Kluyveromyces lactis: one gene and its partner. The protein of the gene in region 1 interacts with the protein of each later gene in a pairwise test. Links are inferred from orthologs where the notes say so. Each region holds a gene or a part of one and is shown on either strand. Other genes may lie near its edges. The genes, in order: IRR1 and MCD1.

Region 1 (4,541 bases):
CTCACGAAGCAGTTTACTGTATCCATTCATCAACGGTATAAAGCAGTTATCATTACTTTGTCAGCCAAAGAACTGTACAGTATTTAGGACTTATATCTGCTACTGATTTTCTTTCAAGGGTTGCTCGCTGTCATATATATTTTTGATCCTGAAAAAATTAGACGCTTGTCCCTGAAAGACAAATAAAAAAATACTAAACTACTCAAAGAAATATTTACGATAAGAGGGTCTACAAGGACTTTGCTCATTCGGTTTCCAGAGCCACCGTATCCATCAAAACTTTACCATTGAAAATAATGTCCGAAAATTGTCAAGAGCTTTGTCTTAGAATTGATCCCGCTTCATGTGGATTTACTAAAGATGATCATGTTATTATCACCGGGGATTTCGATAATTGGAATCCTGGTCAGTACACCTTGAATTATGATTCAAGCACAGGCTACTTTATTGCCCATTTGCCGTACGATGGCTATAGTGAAACGTTCGTCTGTAAGTTCGTTGTCAACAACGAACATTGGAAAGCTTTGAGCTGTTTCGATAAATATATAGATGATATGGGTCACGAAAACAATTTAATCCATTGCAAGGCTTGGTTGGAGACTGAAGAAATGGTTGCTGATATTGTAATGGAAGATGTGGAATTGGATTTAAAACCTTTTAGATCTTCTATGTCACCTTCAGATCTTCAGATCGATCAGTTAGCAATCACTAGGCCAAGTAGCGAACAAGATTACATACACGTAACTTCAAGAGGTGAATTAAGCTCATCTGAGGACGTGGAATTAGATCCGAGAGTAACACAAGGTACAATTGATGATATTTTGGTAGATGATATTGACGAACAACAATCTCAACAAACTCTACTACAGGCAAGCTACTCTGATCAAAATGCCAAATATCCATCTTCATATAATCCGATACACGGACTCGTCGCAACTTTAAGACGTGCAACCACTTACTGGAAACGTTGATGGTTAATTTTATGCTATTTCTTCTTTACCTATTCTCCTTCTAATTGATTTTTCTTCCTTTCACGCTAATATACACTGCTTTTTGCTCAACTTCTTCTATCCAGTAAAAATCTTCTGAACACATATTCATCAAACTACAATAATTACTATTTAAACCTCGTGCTATTTCTCTTCTTTAATTTATTTAGCCTCTAACTTCTTTTTTTTCTCAGGATGTAATACAGTCTGTCGGTTTAAATCGATTACGACGATTGCTTCAAAACACACTCTCTTCCCATGCTTTGGTAGCCTCAAATGAAAGCATACAAAAGTCATCTCATTTGAATGAAAATTGCTCTTAGATAAAGTTCATGGATGTCTTCGTAAAACAGGTCATTTAACTTTAGATAGAGAAATTGATATAGGTCTGTGATTTAACAATGTAACACTGTTGTTTCACTTCTTAACACAGCTGCCGTTATTAGGCCAAAATATAATACTTACATTTTACATGGATTCGAGTAAAAAAACGCGTCGCGTAAATCTAAAAAACTATATGTATGAAAGTAAAAAAAAAGAGGCGACGAACAACAAATCAAGGAAAAAAACAGCTCTCACTCATAGTACATTAACAACAACAGTCACTTACTAGAACCATTCAGCCTCGTTCCACTGTCTACCTATGCCAGTGAGAAGGTCAACCAGGATAAGGACCAAATCCTCTTATAGTGAACAATCTGGATCAGAATCGGACTCTGAGCACGAAACTATAGGATCCATTGTCACCGACGATCGAATAAATATCGAAAACACGGATAATCAGAAAGAAGAAGAAGCTTTATCACAAGGTTCTAGTAGTTCAGAAGAAGACGATGACGCCAATGATGACGACTATGTTGCCCCTGGCTCCAGAAAAAGACCAAATTCCGGAGGTAGGCGCGTTGCAAGCAACAAGAGAACGAAATTAAAACAAAACGAGAAAGGCCGACCATCTAATAATATATCCAGTGCTGTTTCAAGAAAAGAACAGGAAGCATACATATCATTGCAGAATGAATTCAAACCCACAGAGCTTTTTGAAATTCTAAGCAGCTCCGACGATTTTTCTTGCGAAGAACTTGCCAGTGACTGGTTGGATTCCTATATAGATAACCGAAATGTCAGCTTAGCGAATCTCATAAATTTCTTATTAGATTGTTCTGGATGTTTCACTCATATTGGTGAACACGATGTAGCTAATAATGACTCTTCGAATGAAACAATAGGGGAAATACAAATTATGTTCCATGAGCAAAAAAAACATGAGTTCCATTTATTACTATCGGCAACACACAAGAAGGCAAAGTTCCGTCCTTTGAATGATAATTTTAACATTTTCATGACCACATTAATGGACCTAGCCATTGAGAAAGAGATGATATATGTTGAGAATGAAAAAGAAGAAAGTGACGAGATTGTGATCGAAACAAATCCATTAATTATTGACTTACTTACATGGATACCTTCCATGTCAGTATCAAAAATACGATGTTTGCGATATGTTTCAGCTAAAGCCATCTTCTGTTTCCAAGATTCTCTCGCACGAGCTTCTGCCAGCTTAGAAGCAGAGGTGTTATTTAAACTGAGGAAACAGTTGACACTGGAGAGAAAAAAGAAAAAGCCCAAGTCCAAAACTATGGAGACGCTAGAATCTTCTATTTCTGATGCTGAAGCTACGAAAACTGTGATAGAAAACACTATTGATAACATAATAAAGCTCTGTTTTGTTCATCGTTTCAAAGATGTAGATGAAAATATCAGATCCCTTGCGATATCCTACTTGTTAGATTGGATTGAAAACAATCCAGACTACTTTTTTAAGGTAACCTTCCTCAAATACTTCGGTTGGTTGCTATCTGATAGCAGTAATTCAGTCCGGTTACAAGTTATAAGGTCCCTTCATGACCTAATTAAGTTCTCCAATAAGAGAAACAAAAATACTGTCGATAACGCTGCCCTAAGACAATTTTTCGAAAGATTCAAAGATCGAATGTTAGAAATAGCTGGCAGAGACATCGATATTCAAGTAAGATTAACCTCAGTTCAAGTACTTTCGTCGATTAATGGGTTGGGTTATCTGGATGACCATGAAATAATAGACATCATTAGCTTGATCTTTTTTGATCATGAAGTAAAAGTATCTTCTTCGTCAAGGGACGTTAAATTCTTGAACGAGGTTACCAAATTCTTGGCAAACATTGTTTCTGAAAAAACGGAAGAGTTTCTAATAAACAATGAAAGGTTTAAGGTTCCGGTAATTTCGGTAACGGAAGAGCAGTTTGTTAAGGTGGGTGTGTTAATGAGATTATTACACAATTCATTGTTAAATCATATCAACTCCACTAGTAATTTAGAAGGTTATGCAAAAGTACCACCGGACAAAATCAAACTCTTACAGCAAGCGGCGGAATTTTTATCCCCCAAGTTTTACAACTTAATTGAAACTATATCAAAACTACTCTATGAAGAGGGAAATTTCGATGGCAGCACAATTCATGCTGATGCAGATGATTTTTCCAATGATCTGGGTGATATCAAATTGTTCCTACCAGAAACTGATAACAATGTCCTATTTTATGCCACTGTGTTGGGCGGCTTATGCACAGGCGGCATACAGTACAACAAAGGCCAGGACAGACAAGCCGTGACACAGTTAATTCTTCCAGAGTTAGAAGATCTTTTCAAGAAAATGAATCTTGATTCTGATCAGATATATACTCAACTACTAAATGTAATACAGCTATTAAACACAGAAGAATGGAATTCCAGTGAATCAAAGGATGTCATTTTTAATATCAATAAAACAATAACAAAACGATTTGAAAGCTCTCCAGTGGTTTTGAGCAACGCAAATGCCATTACTAAAACCTATAAGAGTTTAATTCCATATTTGGCATCCCTTCAAATACCAGAGGTAACTGGTTATTGGAAGTCATGTCTGATTAACGTGACATTATCATTCAAGAAGTTTATGGAATCATTTGACATAAAATCTGATAATTCAATAACAACATTATATCTGCAATATGTTAACAAACTTGTAATTTTGGGTAAGGAGTTCGCAATTGAAATTTCAGAAACGCTTTTGGATGACATTGTTGAAAAATTCTTGAAGCCGTTGAGTGAATTACTACCAAAGATTGATTCGGATGCCATATCTGTCCTAGATTTTAAGCTTTTCACCTCAATAGTTACTTGGAATTTAGCAACTTGGAGAGATGTTATCAAAAATAATGAAGAACCTATAGCTGTTTCACATACTACGCTGAATCAAATTAGAACGGTATTAGTCGAATTGCTGAATCTTTCTTCAAAGATCGATTCTAACCCTGAAATACAACACGACAAGAAATTCCATGTGCTTCATGTAATACTCTCTCCATTGTTAGATATTATCATTGCATTCAAAATGTTTGAGCTCGATTTGTCAGAAAAGGATTCCGATTGGATAAGGGCGTTAAGGCAAGAATATTCAGTTATCTCTAACGAAGATCTAACTGGTATTTGCCACAAAGTTTTCCTCTACCTTGAGAGTTGTCTTGGAAAATTTTT
Region 2 (3,863 bases), about 1.2 Mb from region 1:
GAGCGCTTCTATCGAGACAAAAGCTTATACTACTAGAATGGGCGCCATTTGGAAGGAAGCGGAAGCTAAGAAGTTTTTACTTGATGAGTTAGCAAGCATTTTTAATTCCACTTCGTTTGACACTGATGCAGTGAAGGATATAAATGATGGCGATGATGATGACGACGTGGCGCCAACATCATTCTTCATCAATAACATTCCAATTAATTTGTTAAGGTTTGCTATTCTTTCTCAAGAGTCATCCGTTATGGCTGCTATTCCCGAAGAAATTTGGTCAGATCATTCTGTGTTTGAATTCGATGTACTACCACCACAACCACATGATAGAGAAAGTGAGTATGTAGTAGAAACAATCGAAGGACTAATTGATAGTAAACATCTAGAAATATCCCAAATGAACAGGTTCGCTGATGAGGAGCTTTTACAACACATTAACCAGTTATCAATACAAGAATACTTGGAGCAGCAGCAACAACAGCAACAACCAAATGAAGAAATCGAATAGCACAACAACTTGAACTGATCTGCCGTCATGTATATTTAAACCAACTTAAAAAAACAGATATTATTAATTATTTATACATAATGTCCGTTATAAAAGTATCCAAATTAAAAGTCTATGCGGTAACAAACGTCTCATATAAGTTTGATTTTCCTAAAATTGTGATTTGTCCAAATGTTTCCTTCTGTTTCAATGATATACAGTCTGCGGTGGCAAGAGAAAGTAACTCAAAGAATGCTTTACTGGCCATTCTTTTTGTTATTACCGCGTTATCCTGGTACTTCGAAGTAAGGATTTTATCAAAAGTAGCTTCACCGGAGCTCATTTCATCTCTCAGTAGAGTTGCCATTTCCACTGTAGATTTAGACACGATTTCACCGGTAGCAAGCTCTACTTTTTGACTTTTTTCCTTTTCAATTGACCCACGAGAGGCAAATTCGTCTGATTGAATGGCTTGGTAATCATTTTCTTCCATGGATGTATCAGCTGCAAGAACTGGAGGTTCATCATCAGCAAACACTGGTCCTTCTGATTCTGCATCAAAGCCCATTTGTTGGTGATCGAATGGATCAGAATTGTGTACCAAACTTCCATCGATACCCAAAGAGATATCTATATCAACATCGGACCCATCAGATTGGCTGGATTGTGACAGAGCTCTAGGCTTCTTTGAAGCTTTATGGTTGAAGAAATTAGATATAATCTTTTGAGGAAGGAAGTCCAGGTCAGAGTATAATTCATCGATGGCTCTTTTTTTCTTTGATATAGCGGACGAAGTCTCATCAGAAACGATAAGAATTGAGTCCGATGGTCCTCCTTTCACTTCAGAATCGTTTAATTCGGCATCAGCATCTATGAGAACCTTCTTAACATTGATAAAGGCTTTATTCCTTGGTGCCCTCTTCTTTACTGCTCTAGGTGGTATGTATGCCTCTGCTTGCTCTTGATGCTCTGGTTCTGTGTCCTTTGGCAGCCCTAGATCAAAGTCTAAGAGTGTATCATCATGCAATGAGTGAGTAATATCAGCCCTTCTCCCGATCTCTACAGACATGTCGCTACCATGGCTAGACTGATTACCAGAAATATTCTGATCATCATCGTTTAATCCCAAATCCCAATCATCGTTAAGTGGTAGCAATTCATCATCATCGTCATTGTCATTTCTAATAGTCAAATCACCTTCATTTTCTCCATCATCCGCGTTTACTTCACTAGCAGTAACACGAGTCCCTTCACCCCATGATTTAGTGTTATTGCTTTGATTAGAATCACCAAGGTCAAAATCTAATTTCAAATGAGATGAATCGTGATGTTCAATAGCATTCAAGTCATCATCTTCATCTGCCAGGAATCGCCTTCCAACTTCTAAGGACATATCCCATGCTTGTTGTTGTGCTGCAATGGCGGATGTTACAGGTGCTGCTCCTTGCACTTGTCTTTCCATTGATCGTTCAGCGATCAAAAAACCTTCTGGCACTTGGATATCTTTCAAGAAATCCAAACTGGGCATCTCCAAGACGTCAAGTTCTGTAACCGCATCTTGCAATAAAAGCTGATCTAACTTTGCCACTGTATCTAGCTGAATTGTGACGCTCTTGTTCAGCGATCCCTTGAAGATAGATTTCACTTTACTCAGTAAGTCTGTGATATCAGTAAGCAGATAGGATGCTTTTTGAGAATAAACTTTTACAACACCATGTAGTAACTCACCGGAAGCACGTAATGTGATAGGTTCCACAGATTCATCATCTAGATTAACACCTGCAGCTTTGGCAATCTCTTCAACAGATTCCACGATATTAGTCTTTGCAATGTTCCGATTGATGCTACTCAAATTGGAAGCCAGCCAGATCTGAGCCAACGGCCCATTGCTTGTATTTAATCTCACCTGAGTATGTGAATTGCTATTTGGTGGCATATACGTTGTTTATTTTTGGATTAGGTGATATAAGGCTCGTGGTTCCTGTTGCAAATGGTATAGCAAATGGATATAAACTTAAGATCGAGATTAGAACTTGATCTTATAAGGAATGGTTAGCAAAATAAAAATGAAATAAAATAGCACTGTGTCTTTTTTCAGAGGTCACGACATTAAAATTCCATAGGTAATATATATATTTGATAAAATTATTGGTAAAGGTGCAATCAATATGATGGAATAGACATACTTCTCATCCAGTGTTTATCAATGATATTTGTTAAAGGATTGCTGGTTATAGATCTCATCACGGAAACGCGTTATGGAGAAAAATCGCGAAAATATTTTTGGGGGAAAACAATGTCTTTTTCTGGGACCTCAAAAGATTTCCCGCCGGAAAAATTTCGATTTCGTGGTATAAAATCCGGGTAACAAGTGAGGACCTTATACCCATTTATTACCCTGCCTTTCTAACTCTTGTTGATGCCAAAACCAGATCATCTCTCTCAGTATGCGCAGTCAGTTTAATCGGTATATATGAATATGAATCTTAAAACTAGACATCAGTTACACACAAATCGTTTCTGCTAAAAAATATAAAATCTAAGTCTTTCAATTCGGTTCTTAATTGATAATATTTTTAACGGGGATAGACAAATTATAATCGATCCAGTGTTTTCTTTGATATTGTTAGAAAGGAAGGAATAGTATATTGAAGAAAGATTTATGTTTGTTGGTCATTAAAACAAAGACTAGAACCCCCTTTTGAAACGGAATCGAGACATCACTTGTATCAACCTCCATATCATTTAGAATTTTTAGGTTTTATCGTATTTATTTCTTCTGATTTCTTTTAATTCGCTGGGTTTTAATTCGTTGTATATTTTAGTAATAGTCGTTTTAGGTTAATTCTCAATAGTTCCCAGTCTTATTCGTACGTTCACACTACAGTATTGTATGGAAAGAAAGGACAATGACCGGAGCAACAAAAAAGGGTCTTTAGGCTAAATCATGAAATGTATTCGTCGTTGTGTTGTGTAAGCTTGTGCAATGGAATAATAGGAATTAGAATAATGAAAAAAAAGCAGACGAAGGATAATACAAACGCCGAGACAGGTTTACAATCAACCGGGAAAACAATTGCTTCCAAGTAGAGTATCCGTATCAAGTGTATTATACCTTGGTCCAATTGTAATTCTTCGTTCATCTCAATTATTTCAAAGCGGCTTGCAAAGCTTCCAAAACTTCAAGTTGGATAGCAGCTTCGGCAGCAGCAACTTCGTCAGCAGAGGAGACGTTCTTTTGAGCTTCAGCCAACAGAGATCTAACGTTTTCTGGAGAGAAAGACTCTAATGGGAATGCTTCAACGGAAGTGATAGCCAAGGTAGAGTCTGGTTGGACAGTAGCGAAACCACCGGAAACAAAGAACTTCTTAGAAGAAGA

The links.
Region 2: the proteins of IRR1 (region 1) and MCD1 interact in binary tests that used the Saccharomyces cerevisiae proteins (3 or more experiments, as listed by UniProt). The link is inferred for Kluyveromyces lactis from reciprocal best matches to the Saccharomyces cerevisiae genes IRR1 and MCD1.

What each region holds. Positions count from the first base shown.
Region 1 is NC_006042.1:2,572,812-2,577,352, reverse strand, and holds the start of IRR1 (cohesin subunit IRR1), read left to right. Parts: upstream 1-1,632; coding exon 1,633-4,541. Other genes in the region: ATG45 (Atg45p), read left to right, coding at 297-971. UniProt on the Saccharomyces cerevisiae protein: Component of cohesin complex, a complex required for the cohesion of sister chromatids after DNA replication. The cohesin complex apparently forms a large proteinaceous ring within which sister chromatids can be trapped.
Region 2 is NC_006042.1:1,366,751-1,370,613, reverse strand, and holds MCD1 (kleisin alpha), read right to left. Parts: upstream 2,421-3,863; coding exon 618-2,420; downstream 1-617. Other genes in the region: RQC1 (Rqc1p), read left to right, coding at 1-505; ATP16 (F1F0 ATP synthase subunit delta), read right to left, coding at 3,633-3,863. UniProt on the Saccharomyces cerevisiae protein: Cleavable component of the cohesin complex involved in chromosome cohesion during cell cycle. The cohesin complex is required for the cohesion of sister chromatids after DNA replication.